Schizosaccharomyces pombe: one gene and its partner. The protein of the gene in region 1 interacts with the protein of each later gene in a pairwise test. Each region holds a gene or a part of one and is shown on either strand. Other genes may lie near its edges. The genes, in order: isp3 and tnr3.

Region 1 (10,614 bases):
ATTGCCAACGTCACATGAAATCGGAAAAAATAGTTGTGTTGCGAAATACTTCACATATAGGAGTAGTAATTCCGTGAAGTCTCAATCCTTCCTCTCATTAACTTGGTGTTTATTTTTTTAAAATGCTTTTCTAAGTGTAAACAGTTTTATCCTAGTAAAAGAAAATTTAATGACCAAAAACCCATATCTCTCTAGTTTCAAAATCCTTAGTAGTCTTCAGCGTATATTAATTGCTGTGGAAAACCTATGTCTTTTTGGGATGGAGTCTGCAAATTTTTTTTATTAGTTTTTATGAATTCTGGCTTATGAACTCTTATTAAATTTCATAATCAAAAGCACCTTTGCCAACTTTGACTAATATACCTTAAGAAAATTTCATTGAACTTTCTTGTTCTCGAGCAATTTATTCTCGACTAACCAAAATTTTATTTGATTTGAGCCTTATTTGTTCACACTAGGAGCATGAAACTTTCATACCGTTTTATTTGAGCTTTGTATTTTCGTGCACCAAACACAACCTAGGTTGTAGTATTATATCAATTTTTGCTTTATAATTTAAAAGACCAGACGACATGCAGCTGATTTTCAAAGTTGCATATGAAGGAAGCTTGTATAATTTGACTCTTCTCTCATGGGAGGTAAAATTTTTATTATTTTTTTTTTGGGAACCGGCGTACTAATGGACATTTGATCAGATAAATCGGAGTTCTATCAACCGCAAAAAGGATATAAAGGCGAGGCTTTCCTTTTACAATTTTGATGATAGAGGTTAAATAAAAAGTTTTTATTTTCCGTATTTCATTTTCCGGTTACAAATTCGTCCTTTCGGTTGGCATGCAAAAATGAACATCCTTGTTATCGCTATAACATTTTAATGGCTGCAATTTGTCAGCACGCAGTAATTCTGTAAATATCTTTAGCAATCGCGGATTTTTTTTTTTGAAAATTAAAAATTATAAGTCAGACTAATGAGTGCAAAAAAATTTCCATTCCATCTTAACCCTATAAAGTCATATCAGAAGTGGAACAGTCAACTTGCTCAAGTGTCTTCCATTAAACCATCTTATTTGACCAAATAATATTGTTAAAGGCATTGAAAGTACCGCTATTATCTCATCTGATAGTGACCATAAAATCATGAAATGGTTAACAGTGTTGAAGTGAAACCAGAACAAAGAAAACCATGTTTCAACACGCCAGAATTAAATTAAAAGGCTCAAAAAATAAAAAAAAGGATGTTAAATAGGTAGACGCGACGATTACTGTTTAATAATGAATAGCAGACTCGGGATCATATTATACTCTTCAGTAATGTTACTTTTCATTTAAGTTAAATGATAACAGCAAAAACAATCATAAGTTTTAGGACTTGAACGTGATATTTGTTGCGCTAAATAATGAACTTTTTGAGCTTAACGAAAACTTTGAGAATTCACTTATTTATCAACTACAAAGAAAATTAACTACACAATTATTTGGTTCGTTCCATTTGTTTTCAATCAAAATTTTTATTGAGTAAAAAGCTTACACATGAAGGATATAGTTACAGTTTGTCATCCGTTGATCAAAGCTTAAATTTCTTTCCAGCGGCCTTTCACATCCACTTTGGCACGTTCTTGAAGCTTTTTTCCATGCTTTTTAGCCTTATCAATCAATTTTGGTTCATCAATCGTTAATAAAACATGATCTTCCACAATCAGTTTTCCATCAATTACTACTGTCGCAACATCAGCTCCAGTAGCAATATAAACCACAGCAGATACAAGATCTCTAAGAGGTTGCGCATAAAGCTTATTAGATAAATCTAAAGAAATGAAGTCAGCTTTTTTGCCGACCTCTAAAGAGCCCAAATCATCTCTTCCCAATGCCTTTGCACCATTTATTGTAGCCATTTCAACGATTTTCTCAGCGGGAACTATAGACGGATCACCATGTAAAGCCTTTGGAAGCAAAGACGCCATCTTCATTTCTTGCAATAGATCCATAGTGTTATTACAAGGACATCCATCACAACCAATCCCAACTATTATTGACTTCTCGAGCATTTCTTTTAGTGGGGCGATTCCACTACCTAGTTTGGAATTTGATACCGGGCAATGAGCCACAGAAGTTCCATTTCCGTGTTTCTCCAAAATTTCTAAATCTTGAGTATCGAGATGAACCATATGTGCTAAAACAGTCTTTGGTCCTAAAAGACCTAGATCTTTGCAGTATGTCATCGGAGTATGTTCCTTGCTAGCAAAAAACTCTCTGTCGGCTTTTACTTCTGCACAGTGCATCGTAATTCCAATATTATTTGCTCTGGCAATTTTAACCATTTTACGATACAACTCTTCAGAAACACCACCAGGTGTTCGTGCTCCGAACCATATCTCGACTCGGCCATTTCCTTTCCCATGGAATTTGCTATGGCTTTCAACTGCTTGGTTGAGCGAATTAGAATTTTCAATCAAACCCTCATGCATGCTAACTCCAGTTTGAGTAGCATACCTTGGTTGATCCATTACCACTTTTCCTATGCAACCCCTTATTCCCGATTCTATTACCGCTTTGACCGCACCCTCAATTCCATACCGTTGAGCAAATAGTGCCTCAACGAATGTTGTGGTCCCAGATTTTAACATTTCCGCAATGGTTAATTGCGAAGCAACGTATCCATCTTCTTGGGTGAAATTACCCTGCATCTTCCAAACAGTGTCACATAACCAAGAAATTAGAGGCAAATCGTCGGCTGCAGAACGCAAAAGTGACTGTGCTAGATGTACATGGAGAGATATGAGTCCAGGCATCACTATATGGCCTTCTAAAGATTTATGTTTTTCATTTGGATATATTGAAACTAGTCTATCCGTTTTTCCTATATCATCGATGGTATTAGAACCATCCTTGACTAGTATTGCTCCATCAATTAGTATATCACGTGTTGGATTTACCGTAATAATATTAGCGTGAGTATACAACATTTTTCGGTAAATTTTGATTAAATTTATCTGGTATATATATATTATTAGTATGTATTATCCTATTCGGTAATAATCCGCTATGTCGGATAACTTTAAATAGATAAGCGGCACCCGCAACTTAACCATCAACGACCTGTTTGGGCTGTTAGTAATAATTATTTATTCTGGATCGATTTAGCTTTATTGGTTTGGTAAGCTAATACGTAGTAGTAAATTTTTCGCCTTCAAGATTTTTACAACGCCAACGAAATAATTATAGTTCAACTATTCCTCCAATTTTGACCTACTGTATAAATATAGTGGGAAAAATTCAGTAATCACTATTGGCTTAGTTTGAGGGAATTTTAAACCACAGCTCTATTAGAATAATAGTAACATTAAATTCTTTCTTTTTTAGGGAACTTCGGTTTTCTTTGTACTTCGTGCAAATAAAAAATGCCGAATTTATAATTCTAAAACTTAGTGACAATTGAATTTTTTTTAAATGTTTCTATATTGTTAAGCAATAAACGACTTTAAGCTTTTCATTAAGCGAATGAGATTATTTTACCCAACTTATATTAATATAGGATTGATCACCACAAACGTTAAATAAAGTTGTCAGTATCACGCTTACGAATCCAACGTTTTTAAAAACACATCTAATATCATTTCGTCTCTCCTTATAGTAATAAAATTTTTAAGCGTATACGGCTATTAACCAAGTGATCCTTTCTAAAATGTTTCCATCACTTTCTGTTGAACTTCTGTTATTATTGCTCATAAGTTTTAAAGATTTTATAATATTATGGTGAAGAGCTGTTTGAATAACGAATCACCGAAATTTACTATAAAGTTGACCTCACCACTTTTGCTTTCAAATCGAATAGACGACTGAACTAGCTCGTTATAGTCTATTTTGTTATTTAGAAAAATTTTAAGGATATGCAATTGTAAAACCTAATGCTGAGTGTAATGTGGTGAAGTCAATATACAACGTTGTGATATTATTTCAGAAAAATTTAATTCAAACTAACCATATAACATCCTTAACCGAATTGTTTTTCTATCGAAATCAGCTTATAGGGCATGACTGTATTTACAAACTTTATGTTATACTAGAAAAATTATTGTTACAAGACATGGGCTATCTTAGTAACATATAAGAACCATAACCAGATAGTCACAAGATGTTCATAAAAATAATCAATTTGACATAAAAACAAAAAATCACTTTGCTAAACGTAAACACAAGGAATAAATTCATAACAATTAACAATTTTGAAAATTTTTATATCTGATTGCCTCAGAAAACGAAAATCTTTCTTCAAAAAGCCAACCCAATAATCGAATATTTTGTATATATTTGATGTATTTTATGCGATACAGTTAAAGATAGCCTACAACTTGTGTTCATGATGCGAACATTTGCCTTAAGCAAATGTTTTCAGAATCAGAGAAGACGTACTTAAAGAATTTAAAAAAGTAAACTAATTAAATGCAAACAAAACAATGATCCTTAATTCCATGTATAGCATAATAGAATTTGTGGTTGTTCGTCACAGTGTAAACAAAAAACGGCTAGTGTAGTAATCTTTACGCCCACGATTATCCCGTCGGCATCGAAACACTAACTTGACGAACAAAGGCACTAAGCAATCTAACCAATAAACCTCTAGGAATTGAATTTACATTAATGCTTTGCTTGAACGTAAACAATTGAAGCTTTGCGATTCGTGCCTTTATCAACGTATTTTTTTTCTTTTATGGGGACTTATAACTCTATTTTTAAAAATATTTTGTTTTAGCCAATCATGAAACTCCAAAAATGATTATACGTCATTTTTTTTAATAAACAAAACATGTGTTTATGCTGAAAGCATCCACTGTAAACAAAAAAAAAACTATATAAGAAAGGGGAAATTCCAACTTTTAATTCAGTTCTTACCATTTCTTTTTACTCACTTAACTAGAAATCGGTTTTTTTAAAAAAGAAAACTACAGGAGCAGCCATCAATCAAAGCATTTCTTCTTCAGAATACAGGGAAAGTCATTTCAACTTTTCTATCTTTAAAAGTATTTTTTTGAATTTTCTGTTCAAAAAAATCACACAAAAGTCTAACTTTAGTAAAACTTTTCAGCTTTAAAAATGGGTCTCGGAAATTTGTGCTCTTACAAGCAAGATGATAGCTTAGATATTTTGCAAAAGAAGGTTTTAATTGATGCCTTTAACAAAGTTACTATTGATGGAAAGCCCAATGTCCAACATCAGCAGCCAACTTACTGGTATCCTCCTCCTCCTCCTCGTCATCACAAGGAACACAAAAAATCTCACCATCATTGGGAATATAGCAGTGATGATGATAGCAGTGATGATGAGGAGTCCTGTGAGAAGAAAAAACCCAAATGCTGTGAGAAGAAGAAACCCAAATGCTGTGAGTCTGAACAGAACAACGGTTGCGGTCGCAGAAACCAACTTGCAAGGCGCTTAGCATTTCTGGGTAGCTTTGGTGATGGTGACTGCGATGGCTGTAACGAGGCTTTTACCGTTACTGGTCCCATCACATATTTCAGAACCTGCCCTGATCCACTCACAGGTATAACCCCAGCTGTAGCTGCTGCAGCTGCTACTCCGGCGGCAGCTGCTACTCCTGCTACTCCGGCGGCAGCTGCTACTCCTGCTGCTCCTGCCGCATAGAGCAAAAATGCCCTTTATGCAAGGAAATAGAGTATTGCTGTTATCCAAATTGAGATAAAGACATTATACCATGGAAAGCACCATAACTATCAAAAACTCCCTAAGCTACTCTTGAATGTTAAAGCGGTTTCGATTACTTTCGGAGCAACGTTGTTTGTCAGTAGTTACTTACAAAGTGCATCTGGCGTTTTGAAGTTGACTTTAAGGAGTCGAAAATTTGAGATTTTGGAAAAGATAATGGCAAAATCCATTTTAACGTGGAATCCAAGTCTGTATCAGACAACACACTTTTATCAAAATAACTAATTTCCCACCTTTCTTTAGTTATACTTGCGCGCTGGGTTTTTGTCTTTTAGATAGATGTAGGCTACTCGTGTTGATGTTCACGGAATAAAATTGAGGCTGCTCTTTTTTTTTTATACAGTGTACCTTTTCGTATGTTTAATTTGTTTGTCCATGATTATTTGTAAATTAAAAAATGTGGTTGAATTCGTTAGTTGGTATGAAAGCGTTAAATATAAGACTATACTAAGAAATGAGATATGCGTAAGTGGTCGCAAAACACAGTACAATAAACAAATTCTGTAGAATTAGATTCAGCAACCAACTTAATAATTAATTCAACATCCAAAGATTTTTACTATTCAAGTTTAATCAATTAATTTACCCAATCAAGCTTCCTAAGTACGATAAAATATAAAGTGCATAAATGATCGGATTGTAGTATTGCTTAGAGAAACTACTTAGAGGTTTATATGCCATTCAGTAATTGAACATATTTGATTTAACTATTCAGCGGTTAACATTATTGAACCAACCATAAAATAAAATCAGTTTTCCTTAATATGATACGTTATTCTGCAACCTTTATTCAATTAACTTCTTTCGGCTGAAAGGATACTAAAAACATCCGCAGGTCATTTCTCAAGCTATTGAGCACACCTAACTAAGCACGAAGGTTAATACGACATTATATTGAGAACTTGATATTAAGTACCAGATTCAAACTAATAATCAAATTTATTATAGCTGAAACAATTCACAATAACATTTTACCCTTTAATAATTCAGATGATTAATCTTCATTGTGTACATTTTTTAAAAAATCAATTCGTACTTTTATATGTTTAAGGAAATCTACATGAGTTGACAAACCAACAAGCAGGTTTCATATATTTCAACTACATATTTCACGATGCTGCGCATTAATGCTGATTAAACAAGTATGGAGCGTTCAAAATGCGTTTACAATTTAAAGGTTGCTACTCTATAATAATCCTAATCTTATAAGGTTGAAAAAATCGGTTAACATTATTGAACCAACCATAAAATAAAATCAGTTTTCCTTAATATGATACGTTATTCTGCAACCTTTATTCAATTAACTTCTTTCGGCTGAAAGGATACTAAAAACATCCGCAGGTCATTTCTCAAGCTATTGAGCACACCTAACTAAGCACGAAGGTTAATACGACATTATATTGAGAACTTGATATTAAGTACCAGATTCAAACTAATAATCAAATTTATTATAGCTGAAACAATTCACAATAACATTTTACCCTTTAATAATTCAGATGATTAATCTTCATTGTGTACATTTTTTAAAAAATCAATTCGTACTTTTATATGTTTAAGGAAATCTACATGAGTTGACAAACCAACAAGCAGGTTTCATATATTTCAACTACATATTTCACGATGCTGCGCATTAATGCTGATTAAACAAGTATGGAGCGTTCAAAATGCGTTTACAATTTAAAGGTTGCTACTCTATAATAATCCTAATCTTATAAGGTTGAAAAAATAAAATAAAAACATAGTACGGCAGAGGTATACAAATAATCATAAGCTTTGCTATCATCGCCTAGCTTTTAAATATTGCGATGATATACGTTCGGGACTTTATAATAAATTTATATATCGCTCATTTACTTTTGAATATTTGTCTAAACCAGGTATTTTTTGAATAGAGGCTACAGTATTTTCATTGAGAGACTTCGATATCAAAGACTTTTCGGAATGCGCCAAATTAGTTCAACAATACCACATCACGCTACAATTACGACGCAACGTTGCGAATCACTATAAGCCATATGTTAAAACACTACTTAAGATCGGCTTACAAGATAATCACGAAATACTATCCATCTATCAGTTCAGATACCCGTTGATTACAGTTTTAAAATTGATTGTAAATAGAGCTACAACTGAACCTCGTTCCTCAGTTCAGTTATGAGCTATATTAGTGATAGGTAACATTATAACCCAGTTAATACAATACCTATACTTAGTTGCTACTTATACTACCTGTGTAGTGTAATATAATAGATCACAGGCAAACTCACCCCAGTTCTACGGTCGTTTAAACAGATACTGACTGCGTAGCTGACATAACAAACCAAAACTATGGTGAGTTTTACTTGTGATCTATTATATTATACGTAGGTAACGCAAATAACAGTTGTTATAAGTATTGTTATATTGTTATCTAACACTGGTATAGCTTATAACTGAGCTGAGGAACGAGGTTCAGTTGTAGCTCTATTTACAATCAATTTTAAAACTGTAATCAACGGGTATCTGAACTGATAGATGGATAGTATTTCGTGATTATCTTGTAAGCCGATCTTAAGTAGTGTTTTAACATATGGCATATAGTAATGCGCAACGTAGTCTAGTTTTGCTGACACGTTAAACCAGATACCAAACTGTGTAGCTGACAAATAAAGAAAATGTTAAAACGGGACGCAACTCCATAAAATTCATTAAATATAATTAAGCGGCGTACTTACTACAAATAGCGTATTGTATATATCCAACAATCACAATTTTAAGCTATCATATCAATTTGTGTATTGTTTTTGCTATATAAAATCAAACACTTAAAGGATGAGAATATAGCAAACATGCTACCGAACGTATCAAAAAAAAAAAAGGAAAATAGGTTCATGAGAATGAAAAGGATTTAGTGATTCGAGCTTTCATTTCGACTTGAGCTTCGCTTGATGCCCGGTTTATTTCAAAACCAATATGAAAGACATTTTATCGTTACTTCTTTCTTCTGTTTTGTATGGAATCGAATAGATCTTTAGTTAGGCGTTTCTAATTGACCAATTAACGTTATTAATATTTTTAGATTTTCGCAGCAACAACTTAAATTTTCCGAAAGTAGCAACACTGGTTATCATTTTTGCAAACTTGGTGTACACCAATAGTTACTTTGCTGGGAAAAAACAAGGAGTATACTCTATATATAGAAAGCATCTAAATATGAAGAAGTTGAGTTACATTCATAGCCTTTGTCTTAAATTCCACATTTAAAAATTTTTTTAGTATAAAAAACCCGATTCTCCTTGTAGAACGTTCAAATCTAGACATAATCTATTCTTCTAAAACCGAACAGATTTGGAACCACGTTCTAATCAGTGCTAGATTGAATATTTTTCTAAAAAATTTACGATGAATTCGTACATTTCCTTAATATTTACACTGCTTTTTTTTACGAGCGCTGCTCGTTCAAGCAGCGTCTCGGTGGAAACTGGCAGTTGCGTTCGTTACACAACCATCTATAGCTCTGGATCATCCGAGTTTACTTCTACTATCACCCCCGAAACTCCATCCAGTTCCTCTAGCACATTTGTCCCGATTTCAACCCATACTTCAAGTGCTACGAACACCACCTCTGGCCAACTTTCTATAAGCAGCTCAAGTTCGACTTCGTCTGAGTATTCATCTTCCAGTATCCCTATCACAACTGTTAGTTCTTCTGACTCATTCATTCCTTCATCATCTCAAACTATAAGTGCTTCAAGCTCAACAACTGACAATGTCATTGTAAGCAGTTCAATAAGCTCTACTGTTTCAAGTACACCAGTTTCTACAATTTATAGTGGAACATCAGGTACAACATTCGTTTCTTCATCCACAACTTATCAAGTTATTCCAACTCAAATATGTGATGGAGTTCGTGGATTAGAATACGCGGTATACAATTATGACTTGCCTTCTGAGTCTACATTCTGTCACCCTTCGAATGGTTATACCGAGGTGAGCACTTTTAATAAGCCAGCCTATTTTGGATCTAAAGACTTAAAGCAGAGTGCGCCTCTTTTTACTGGTATATTTTCATCTCTTGATGACATTCCCACCTATTCTGCTTCCGATTATCTTCCTGCTTATCCTCCTAATCCTGAAGGGATGTCTTCCACTTCATCTTCATGCAAAACAATTGTTTATCAATTTTTCTTCAGGGTTCCTGCTACTGATAACTGGAGTTTATTCGTTAAGAACGTCGATGATGCTTTCTTCGGTTGGTTCGGAGACAAGGCAATTTCTGGATGGTCAAATGTTAACTATGATGCATACGCTCACTGGAGAATAGGTGCCTATGGTATGGGAACCTTTGATTTAGGTTATCTTGAACAGGATAGCTTTGTTCCAGTTAGATTTGTTTTGGCTAATGGAGCTTACATTGGTGGATTTGACTTTGCCTTCAATTCTTCTTCGACTGGTCCCGTTCGTACCACGTCATACTCCTACACTTCCACTTGCGATAAATCTTTCTTACCTTTCGGAAAAGGCAACGGTGGATTGGATGAAGGTACTGCAAATGTTTAAATTATTACGGCCCTTTAAGCCTCAAACGGCACTTTGAATTTTAATTTATTAATTATTTATTATTATAATAGATTGAAAGCTCTTTGACTTTTTATGCCAAAACCGCTTTCTAACACATTCTTTGTCTGACTCATCAAAGTCAACGATTATACTTAGTTCGCTATTAACTAATCCAAACACTCGTTTAAACAGCCTTCAATGTAAGGTAAAGAGGCAGACTTCTTCTATCTAATTAATAGTCATTCTTTCTTTTAATAATTTTGACAAATAGATTCAGATGCGATATAAAAAAAAGTAGTATCCATTTCAGCCGTTTGTGTAAATATCCAATTACTGAAGAATCGCTAATTTCAT
Region 2 (11,381 bases), 1.2 Mb from region 1:
TAAGTGTTAAAAGCTGATTTGTTCTTTACAATTCGCATAGGATACACTTCATTTATCATTCAATTTTGGTTTTTCCTTTGTGAAATAGGAAAACCGCAAAGCGTTTGTCTGTTATTTTATATTTTTTAGTTTGGATGTATAAAATTGACATCCTTAACCAATCTATCAGACATTTAGTATATATGTTATAGGATTCGTTTTTTGTCCTTCACGTGCCTTGTTTCAGTTATTATTTGACTGTTAATTCTTTCTCCTTTCCTTACATTTCCGATTCTCCTCTTGACGTACATTGTTTCGACAATACGTTTCTTATTTCCTAGTTAGTGTCTAATTCTATTTAAAGTGTGGATGGCGTTTATCTTTTTGAAATTTATTTTCCAGGCTTTTTTTGAAATAGACTCTTCTGAAGTACATTAAGTTTTTCAAGTGTCTTTTCTTGTTTATCTGTGCTATTACTGTGTGCAGGTTCAATCGATTGTTTTTATTCTTTCTCTGTCTATTTTACCGACCTTCTTTCCTTGTTGTTCTTCGCGGTGGCTTTTTGTTTGATTACACTCTTTTTTTATCCCCTTTAAAAAAAAAAAGTTTGGCATCTCAACAGTTCTCCTCATATTTTCCTTCTTCAACTACTTTTCTCATCTCCCTGTTGTCCTTAAGAAATATTTAACATATTCTGTTGCTTTGCTATTAACGTTATTTGGTAAAATTATTTGGCAGATTATATCTTGCTTATTTTTGCCTACCTGTATTTCTCTGACAAGTCAATTTTGATTTATTTAGCTATTTCTTTTTTCTGACTTGTTGATAACTAATTTAGGATCTTGCATTTCATTTTCGAAAATTATTTTGCGGTTTTCGTTTTTAGTCTTTTTGAATCCTGATTGCAATCACTTTCAAGCTTTATTTCCCTTCATATCTTTTATTTTAACAACATATTCTTCTTTTGAAAAATAAGAAAATAATTGTTTAATTTGAAAACTTGTTTTATCATGACGCGTGAGTCTTTAGCACCGATAGCCTCGAAAGCTAATACTTTATCCGAATCAAAAGTTTCGGAAAACTTGATGTCTATTAATTCCGATTCTGGTACCTCTAATGCTAATACACCCAGCTCTGTTACTTCTAATTCAAAACCTGTGGCTTCTTCTACCGCTGCTAAAAAGGACCCTAATGCCCCACCCCAGAAAGTTAAACAATATGTTTGTGAAACATGTACACGCGCTTTTGCTCGATTGGAGCATCTTAAACGACATATCAGATCTCATACCAACGAAAAGCCTTTTACTTGTAGTGAGATTGATGGTTTACCTACAGGTTGTGGTCGACAGTTTTCGAGGCGTGATCTTCTACTTCGTCACCAACAGAAAATCCATAGGAATCCACAACCTCGAAGAAGACGTCGTTCAACAACGGCTTTACCCAATCCTTCTCTTTCAAATGTTTCGGTAAGCACAACAAATTTAGCTTCTAAACCTGTTATTTCTTTACCTCAGGCAGATTCCATTGACAAATTTCGTTATCCAAAGTTGCATGCCGCACTACAAGCGCAGCTTGCGAACAACTCAGGTTCATTTTCTGCAAGTTGGTTGCAAGCCCAACAACAAAGGCTGGTTTCTGCCGGTAATGGGAGGGAAACGGTAAATGCCTCTGCATCTGGTGCAGTAAATCCTACATCTTCTCAATGGTCAGATCAACGTCTCGGTGTGCCTTATGGACCCGACAGTCCTTTGTACTATCGTAGGGCAACCATTGCCAGCGATTTGAGGCCTTCTGTTTATCAACACCCGCAGCTTTATGACTTTAATAGACCTGAAAGCCTTTCAGGTCAATTAGACGATGAAAGTTTGGCTAGAATGCCGTATTCACCTAACGCCGTTTCACGAAATTACGCTATGAATATGACACTTCCTGAATCTATTCCTGAAGGGTACGAGATTGATAAATTGGATTGGATGAGTTTTAGTGAGTCTTTAAATCTTCCTACTTTCAATCAACCTAGTGGCCCATCTGATGTTTCTGCTTCGTTTCTTAATCTTCAGGCTATGCCTTCTCCTCATGCTTCACCAAAAGATTCTTTGATCAACAAATCAAATAGTTACTTTTTTCAGAATCCTCCTAAGAGTAATTCTGTGGATTATACTCGTCTTGATAATCTCGAACATATGCGTCAGTCTTGCATATCGCCTAGTGGCACTAATTTTTCACCGAGCTGTTATAGCCCTGAATCTTTAATGCAGCAACCATTAACGTTGAGTCCTTCTTCGATCCCTTCTGGATTGCCCACATATGCACATGTTAATTCGCCATTAGGAACAGAGCAATATCCATCTGAAGCTTATCCTCCAAAAGGCTATGTTGATATGGAAGGAAGAATATCAGAAGGCATCAAAGAAGAAGGCATTTCATTATCTGAAGAAATTACCGATAAAGATCAGGCCTTCGCTTCGATGGGATATTTTGACTCTTACAATTTTGAAGGCGTTGAGAATTCAAATTCATTGAACAACGAAGGGGATCAAATGGAGACTAATTTTCAGTCTGAGAAATTAGATAATTCCAATTCAATTCCTTTCTTTAATTTTAATTCATTCAATAACAATGGGGCAAATTGGTCTTCAGACTTTAATTATCCTGTATCCGAAACTTCCGGTTTGCTTACAGATAATAATCGGAATCAACCGCCCTCATTTTAATTTTTTTCATATCTTTATATTTTATACTATTTGTTTCTTAATGAAATGCATCTTTTAGTTTTTTTAAACAAAAATCAACTAGCTTTGATTCGGTTTTTAATTAATTTAAGGATTGATCTGAAGTTTTGAATATTTTGATTTGGGGTTCAATTGTTGATAGGAAAACGATCCTCTTTTACCGAATATTTAATTACGCTAAGATATGCAATGCTGAGAGGTTCACAACACATTAGTTAAGAGGGTTGCTTCTGATATTTTATTATCAAAAAAGGTTCAGCGTGATATGGTTAACAATAGCAACGGAGGCTTTATATTTAAGATGAAAAAAATGGCATTCAAGCACATGTTCCCTTAATTCTCAAGAAAGAATCTACTCGTTCAAACTTTTCCTTAATAATGATAATGATAACATGACTACGTATGTTTAATAATAGAAGAGAATATTTTTTAATGAGATGAAGGAATAATATAGCAAAACTTCTGAAAATAAATTGATACAGCTAATTGAAGATATTGTTGTTTATTGTTTACTGCCCTGAATCTAAAAATTTTGAAAGTCTAATAGGTTATTTATTCAAATGTCAAATAAGGAGTTATTAGCGAAACAAAGTTTGTAACAAATGGTTATTAAGCATTCACTCTGCATGCACTATATTCACTTGATTTAAGTCGTCAAAACTAGCTTTGTGAACAAGGGGGACGGCCCTTAAAAGAACACAAAAATGATTTCGATAAGAAATGCGCTAGCAGAAAAATAATTACTAAAGTAGAAAGACAGTCAATGGTTAGAAACTGGAATGTACGAAAAAGTTAATTTCTGTATTCCCTATAAAGGGAAGGTTCGTTTAGCAAAAGAAGTTGAAGATCACAAAAACATTTTCAAAATCGTAAAAAAAAAGTTCGTAAATATCACGGTTATTAAATATAAATAAAAGAACTATATAGCCTAGTTCAAAGAGGACGTGAAATAAAAGAATTAAGTGAAAGTGTAACAGAGTTACAGCAAGTACAATTGCTAAGTGATATTTATTTGCACCCTAAATGGAAGCCACAAGTAATAACAACGCACAAAGGAGCAAAATAATAAAGCATCTGGGATACTGTTTAGCCTTTCGGCTGACCTTGTTTAATCGATTTTTTGCATGATCAAACCTCCTCTCAATTCGATCAGCATCATTATTCATATTATCTAGTAAAACATTTTGTTCGGACAATTCTGTATTCATTGCATATCCCATCCGCTTTTGCCTTTGGACACTTGCTTCGATCCCTCCTAAAGATTCTTCTTGTTCGTTGAGCATTTGCTGATGCATTTGAGCCAAAACGTTTACGTTTATGGGATCAGGGTCATTGCCATCAACCGGATACATGGCCTCCATCTCAATATCAGATCCCTCACTACTCGAAGTCGTTTTTTGTAAAGAAGGAAGGGGAGTTAACTTATTATTCGTACTTGCAACTTGCGGGTTTGCAGAAAAGGCACTTGTTCCGTCAGCAGGAATTGAGGATGCACGCCGCTGCTTCTCAAACTCTTCCTCAGCAGACTCTAACCTCCTTTGCATTCTAATAAGAAATGCTTCGGATTCTCGTACTCTGTACTCTGGGATTTGTGCATTTTTCTCTAATCGCGATTGCTCCTCATTAAGTTTTTGCAATTCTTGCCGAACATCTTTCAATGAAGACTCAATTTCTTCATCGGGATTCTGTCCAAACTCTTCCAACTTCCTCCTGTCTCTTATTTTTTGTGAAACCGAGTCAATGATCAGAAGCAAATTTGACATAGTCGCTGGTTACTTTCTTGAGTAATCATGTTCATCATGCGCCTAAAAACACAAACATTAGTGAAGTTTACAGTAATACGGTGTAATGCCTTTGCTACCAATTCTAGGTTCAATTACAGTAAATTTTGTTTGCAGCAAAAAAAGAGAATCTTTTCGTATGTTTTAAATAAAAAAAAAAGTAAAAATGATTTGCTCATTAGCTGCCAGATCCATTATAGGCATCCTGTGAAATTATCGTATTATTAGAAACCTACTCGTTATTTACACAATTTTTTGAATGCTTCTTTTCGACTCTTCTGATTGTTTTCGGTATTTATCACAAATTTAGTAGTTCTTATTTCACATCTATTAAAAGGTAATCAAGCAAGGTGTAAGGAAAACTTTTTAATTATTGAAAGTTGGTTTGCGTAGTTTCAAAATTAATCAGATAAATTTATACAGCAAGCCCAGTATAAAAAGGGGCCTAACCAGGATTCGAACCAGGGATCACCTCTAAACTCAGCATACAAGTGGGGATTACCCGAAAGAGGTATGTTAACCACTACACTATTAGGCCTAGGTTTCTCATTACAAAATATTAATATAATATATATATAAAATAATTGCGACATAATAAATGTTAAGTACCTCTTTGCTCTGAAAACTAAAATACCAATAATGACGCTTTTCTTTTCATTAGAAGAGAATGTTTATTAAAGAAATATCTTAAAGAAAAATACTACTTAAATATTTATTTAGGAGTTAGTACACTAATTCCAGAGTATTAAATCCAAGTGTAACAAGGTAGGAGTAACAAATAGTTGTTTAATTACAGACAATTAAGTACAGTAGAAAATTACTCAAATATATACAAGGCTTTGGGCCGTTTAAAACGAATCATGCTGATATCTATATTCGGCTAATCGACTTCTTGCTTTATTCTCAGTTTAAAATGGAGTTTTTTTTTATAGCGTTACGAATTAGAAATAGATGTAGCCGTCTATCAAAGTTGACATTGCACGTGAAATTATCATTATAAACATAATCAAATGAATGGCAAAGCGATCAAAATAAGAAGGAATTTTACTACGTTATAAAACATTCGGCTTTTTATTTTACTTTATTCTTTTTTATTCAGGTGCATCTGATAATAATCGCGTGAAACTTGAGTGCAAAAAATTTTACAGCCCTGTAGATCCCGAGTGAGAGTAGATCACATATAGCTAAAGGAGCTCGTATGAAACTAAGATACAAATACATTTGTTTACGAACGTTTGACAAATATATAAATTGACCCACAGACCTTAAAATTGTCAACAACAGTTGTCTCAAAAAAAAGCCGGGTCGAAAGTACATTATTTACTAAATGATAGTGTTTTTAACTTCAAAAACAGTACAAAGAATGCTATAGAAAACAAAATGCATTTTCGATGAATTGAATTATTCATTTTCTGTAAACAACAAAAAGTTGGTTGAGAATTATGGAATTCGTTATTTTTATTTACCGTATTTCAATAGTTCGTAAATATGCATGACCGCATCGGTAAGCATAGGCAGGCTTAGTAACTTGCATTTCTCTTTGTCTTTAAGCAAACATCGACTAAAATACATATTGCTTGAAAAATTTAATATTGGTTGCATACACTTAATTCACAATGGATAAAACAAAAATGTTTAGTGCCATTAATTTGGGCGTAGGTGGTATCTTCGTTTTAAGCGGATTTATCAAGTTATTTTCATTTAGCTTCGTAAACGCTTTACTTGCATTGTTCATCATCGTTTTCGGTTTGGGAACTATTGGTTTAGAAAAGGAAATTCCTCCTATTGCTATTAAATATGGATCGTTCATGTTCTCATTCTTAGGAAGGGGCTTCTTCTACGCTTTCATGGGTACTTTACTCTTTTCTTACTCCGGGTTTACTTCTTTCCTAGGCTTTTTAGTTCTTCTTGCAGGTATCGCCTACTGTGGTGCAAACTACGTAGCAGGATTGCAAGACTACGCTCCCAGAAGCATGCGTGATAATGATTGGGATGATAACGTTGATGAAGTGTAGACTTTTTTTTATTTCTAACTATATTATTTGATTCGGTTCTTGTTCCTACCCCCCTCTTTTCCCGATGTCCTCCTACATATGATTTATTCTGGATACATTCGTTTTCTTCAGGGTAGGTGTTCTAAAAGACAGTCACTTTAGCAGTCATCCTCAGAGTAGTTAATGAGTATAAATATGTATACGATCTCTTAACTATGTATAATTTTTGTATATCAACATTAGCGTAGTAGCTATGGTATTTGTGATGGGTTTTAGGGTTATACATTCAAATACCTTTAATTGTCCAGCTTGGATTCTGAACTGTCGGGTGTATCGAGGAGGATAAAAATGACATGTCAAGCTCAACAATATGAAAAATTATGATTTTTTTCTATTTCTTCACTTTCTGAGATGTATCTTGCAGTTCAAAATGTTAGTTGGCTTTACTAAAATTCTATTTTATTTCATTACTCTAATCAATTATCTTTTTGCTTTATGACCATTACCGCTTATACTCTATAGATGTTTTATATTTTTTATATCTAAATAAATATCTTAATTTTTTTGAGCTGTTGGGAATAATGAATATTCTTTCTGAGTTTCTTACTTACAGGTCTTATAGACGTGTTTCCATTGTCCATACTATAAAATTGTTGACCTCTATAGTCACCGTTGCTTTTGTCACTACATTGCAAGAGCTGACGAGTCCTCCAAATTGACAAATGCGATCCTCAATATTCCACTCAAGGCCGCTGGTTTTTTTAACATACACACTCTGTCCTACTGGCAGAAGACCGCAATGTAAACCAATGTTGTCGTGACAATCAACATGATTTATTCCGGGTTGAAGCAAAGTTGATACATTCAATTCAGTTAATAGAAATACTTCATTCTTTTCAGAAATCGAGGCGGCCCAGAATAGATGGTTTAAATTACCAATGGCATGATCAACTCTTCCACCCATGCCACATAATACAAAAATAGTATCAATCCCATGTTCTTTAATTATTTTATGGCATTTCATAAAGTCAGTGGTGTTTTGGCATGGGTCGAATACAATGTTGACTCCCATTTCTTTATAATAAGCTTTAGTTTCATCTGTTAACGAATCAAAGTCACCAACGACATAATCCGGTTTGAGCGAAGAATCGTAATTTCTCAATTGGTTAGCACCACCGTCTGCGCAGACTCGGATACTAGCTCTTTTCCATAAAGTACGAAATCTATCATCCGGTATATCTATGGGTTGATTTAATAGTAATACCGCAAACTTTTGATCAGTATCATAGTCACGTAACCAAGCCTTACATGGAGCTAGCTGATGAGTGGCTTTTTGGGGTTTTGCAGGAACACACGTTTCAGCTTTCTTTGAAGTATCTTCAAAAGAATCCCCTCTTTCATATTTTCCAACAGGAACAGGCAACGGTCTATGTATCCGTTCTAAAGTTTGGAGATACTGAGGATGCTGTGGAGTAATGATACCATGACGGATTAAAAAGTCTAAAAGAACCAGAGCACAATTTGGCTTAAAACTTTTTAATTCAAGTTCATGAAGTACTTGATTCAATGGTAATAAACTGAAACCAGCGACTTCTCCATCATTAATTCTTGGGATAACAAGATCATCAACAGGTAAATCGAATACATATTGTAACTCGGGCTGAATCCAATGCCTTTTCTCCATTTTGATGTAGGAGACAGTGCCACAAGGAATAAGATTCATAGAAGAAACGTCCAAATTAGCTTCTTCAGAAAATTCCTTTATCATAGTGCCTATGACTGAATCACCATGAGCAATTCCGCCGGCAACGCTATTATCTAAATAATTGGGCCACGTTTGTTTAGTCGGTGATCTTCGTGGTACCCAAATACGAAGAGGATGTTCTTTAGTTGCTGGAATATACATGGTACAATGCACACCAGTGCTCAAAAAACCGAATAACCAAAATCCGCCCCGTTCAACGGCCAATACAGGCTTTTTAGATTTTCCATAAACAGTATATAATTCATTCCTCCATTGATCAGCAATTCCAAATGTATTGTTATGGCGCCAATGCTCCAGTACCTTAGCTAAGATGTCAGTTCTTTTTTCAAAAGTAGATGCGTTTATTTCAATATACTCTCCTGGAACATAAACCCAATTGAATTTGAAATTATCCGCCTTTATGAGGATTTCTAGTACCAAAGGGGTAACATATCCAATGGCAGCGCCATTTGCACGGAAGGGAATTGTTCCAGGAACAAATTCCCCATTAAAAGAATCGCATTCATCTAAAAGCTCTTCGGCATTTAATTGTTTAGCAGAGGTGATAGACGACATTGCCATTACCTTGCCCAAATTTTCCTCTCAAATGGATAGTGTTCTAAAATAAAACAGGAATAAAAAAGGCTAGTGTATTTATGCGAAGGAGACACTTATGGTTCAATTCAACATAAATAGAATAATATATAAAACACCCTATACTAGCAAATGGTAAAAGCTCAAGGAAACTGGTTCCTGGTAGTAGAAATCGGGTAGTTGACTAAAACCTTATCGTATAACGAAATGCTAATCTATTAAACCCCTTTCAAAATGATCTTTAAAAACAAAAAAGAAGTTGATATTAAACAAACAGTACCTTAATCAAGGTAATCTAGTAATTGTCTTTCAAGAGTGTGGTCTACGAGGAAAATTACAATGGGAGCAGAACTCCGTGCCAGGAATGTCTTGGTATTAAAAATAATAGCACACAGATTGGCTTACTAATTTTCACTTTAACACCAACCGCCGTTTTTGTAATTAATTAGGGTTTGGTATAGTTAAGCGTATCTTTCACATGATTTTTATTTTCAGTGGACTTCCTTCGTAAGTTTTTTAATAATAATTCCTGAAGTGATTGATAATTTTTCCGCTAAACGTATCAAATCTGGTTGTATAATAGTTATCGACTACAGCTATAACTTGCTGCTCAAACAATTTCATGTAAAGAACATCTGCCTACAGAAAAGCTAGCATAGAAAGTTCCTTCTTTTTTACGTCTCATAAGACGTCAATGCTTGGGATTACTCCAACATATTTACATGTATAAAAGCATGGATAATGACACTAAAAAAAAAATCGAAGGGAATAGAAAGAAAAAAAAAATCTTATACTTTTCTCACGCTTTTCTGCATCTCCGTTATATTTAAAATAATCCAAGTCACCGAAATGTTAACATAGTAGTACATCTGGTTATATTGTTGAGATAGCAATATGCTATGTTCCCTTTGCCAATTTCAACTCTAGAACAGTACATTAACAAAACAACGAATCTGAACTTTTTTTATAAAAACAAATTGTCCTTGGTTTAGCTACTGGCAGATAATTAAATTCTATTGCGTTGTTTTAAAATGAGTGTTAACAATGAAGTATCCGCTGATCAACATAACCCTGAACTAGAGGATGATACATTTGAGCATGGACCTCCGGTTTCTCTGGGAGAAAAGAAATCACTTAATGAATATATGAAGATGGATGCCGAAGATGAATCATTGCAGAAATGGAAAGCATCTCTGGGTATCACGGGAACAGGTTATTCACCCTCGAATGATCGTAGAACAGTTGTTATTTTAAAGCTGAGTTTACTTGTTGACGGCCGTGACCCAGTTGATGTTAACATGGAAGATGCAGCAAGTGTCGAACAAATCCGCAAGAAAGGGTTCACTATTAAGGAAGGAAGCGAGTTTAAGATTGGTGTTAAATTTCGTGTACAACACGAAGTAATTTCAGGCTTAAGATATGTCCAAACTGTTCGCAGACGTGGCTTTGTTGTTGACAAAACATCTACCATGATTGGCTCCTATGGACCTTCTGAAACACCTTATGATTTTACCTCTGAACCAGATGAGGCACCTACAGGTATGCTGGCTCGCGGACATTATGAAGCCAATGGAAAGTTTGTTGATGATGATAAAGTGGTCCATCATGAATTTGTTTGGGCTTTTGACGTTGCAAAAAGCTGGAAGTAGTCATTATTTATGCCAGCCTTATTTTTTAAAATCGTAAATTTCAAATCTACTTGGTTATTCAAAATTCTCGGTATTCAGTACTATAAAGAAATTTATAGTGATGTTTTGTTACAAAGCAAACATTTTCCTTTTTCTTACCAATTTCTTTCACATATCGGTGTCTGGACTACAATTGAATATGGTAATGACGATTTCTTACCACCTTCTTCAGTGAAACTTTACTTCACCCAAATATCTCGGATTGTTTGGAGATTGCCTTTTGTTGTGCAAATTACTTTTATAGCTTACATATGATCTTCACATATTCCCCTTTAGCAATCTACGTTGTTTCTTTTAAATCTCGTTCCAAAGCTTACAAATGCGATATTTTGGAAGGATATATACATCCGACTATATTCTTTTCACTGAAATTATGAGTTTTGAGATTTTGATTAAATTTTTCCAAGTATCTTATACTTTTCCACTTTTCCTTGTTGTCACCAAAGAAGTACATAGAAAACAATACAAATAGCTATTAACTAGCCTGATTAGTCCCTTTGATGGGAATTACTAGAATACTATTGTAACGGTAATAACTCATTCTTAAACTCATTTCAACGTATCTCGCTCGACTTTGAGAAAATCCTACATAGTGCTTGAAACTTAACTTTTTATTTTAATACTTCACACTGATTAAAAGATTGATTAATGAATCCTAAACCCATAAAAAGTTATTGAGCGCAAAGCTACTGTCTTAATATAGTTTTACTGCAGTAGAATAGAGACATCGTTAACTTGGTTTCTTGGTATCACACTTTTTCTTTCACTAATTCTTTGCACATCATTTGCTAGACTCTCATCTTTCACCTACTTGGTTTGGTGTAATCCGTTCCTATTCCTAACGTATTATAGATTTCCACTAAGTAGTC

Evidence for each region.
Region 2: the proteins of isp3 (region 1) and tnr3 interact in a two-hybrid assay, tested with the Schizosaccharomyces pombe proteins (one large-scale study listed by BioGRID).

What each region holds. Positions count from the first base shown.
Region 1 is NC_003424.3:90,909-101,522, forward strand, and holds isp3 (protein isp3), read left to right. Parts: upstream 1-4,881; 5' UTR 4,882-5,091; coding exon 5,092-5,640; 3' UTR 5,641-6,058; downstream 6,059-10,614. Other genes in the region: hhy1 (hydrolase), read right to left, coding at 1,572-2,963; pfl8 (glycoprotein), read left to right, coding at 9,103-10,260.
Region 2 is NC_003424.3:1,309,991-1,321,371, forward strand, and holds tnr3 (thiamine diphosphokinase Tnr3/ Nudix hydrolase fusion protein), read right to left. Parts: upstream 8,989-11,381; 5' UTR 8,813-8,988; coding exon 7,103-8,812; 3' UTR 6,991-7,102; downstream 1-6,990. Other genes in the region: DNA-binding transcription factor, glucose starvation sensing, Rst2, read left to right, coding at 990-2,693; fsv1 (SNARE Stx8), read right to left, coding at 3,731-4,474; tvp15 (COPI-coated vesicle-associated protein), read left to right, coding at 6,109-6,507; Rho GDP dissociation inhibitor Rdi1, read left to right, coding at 9,856-10,473.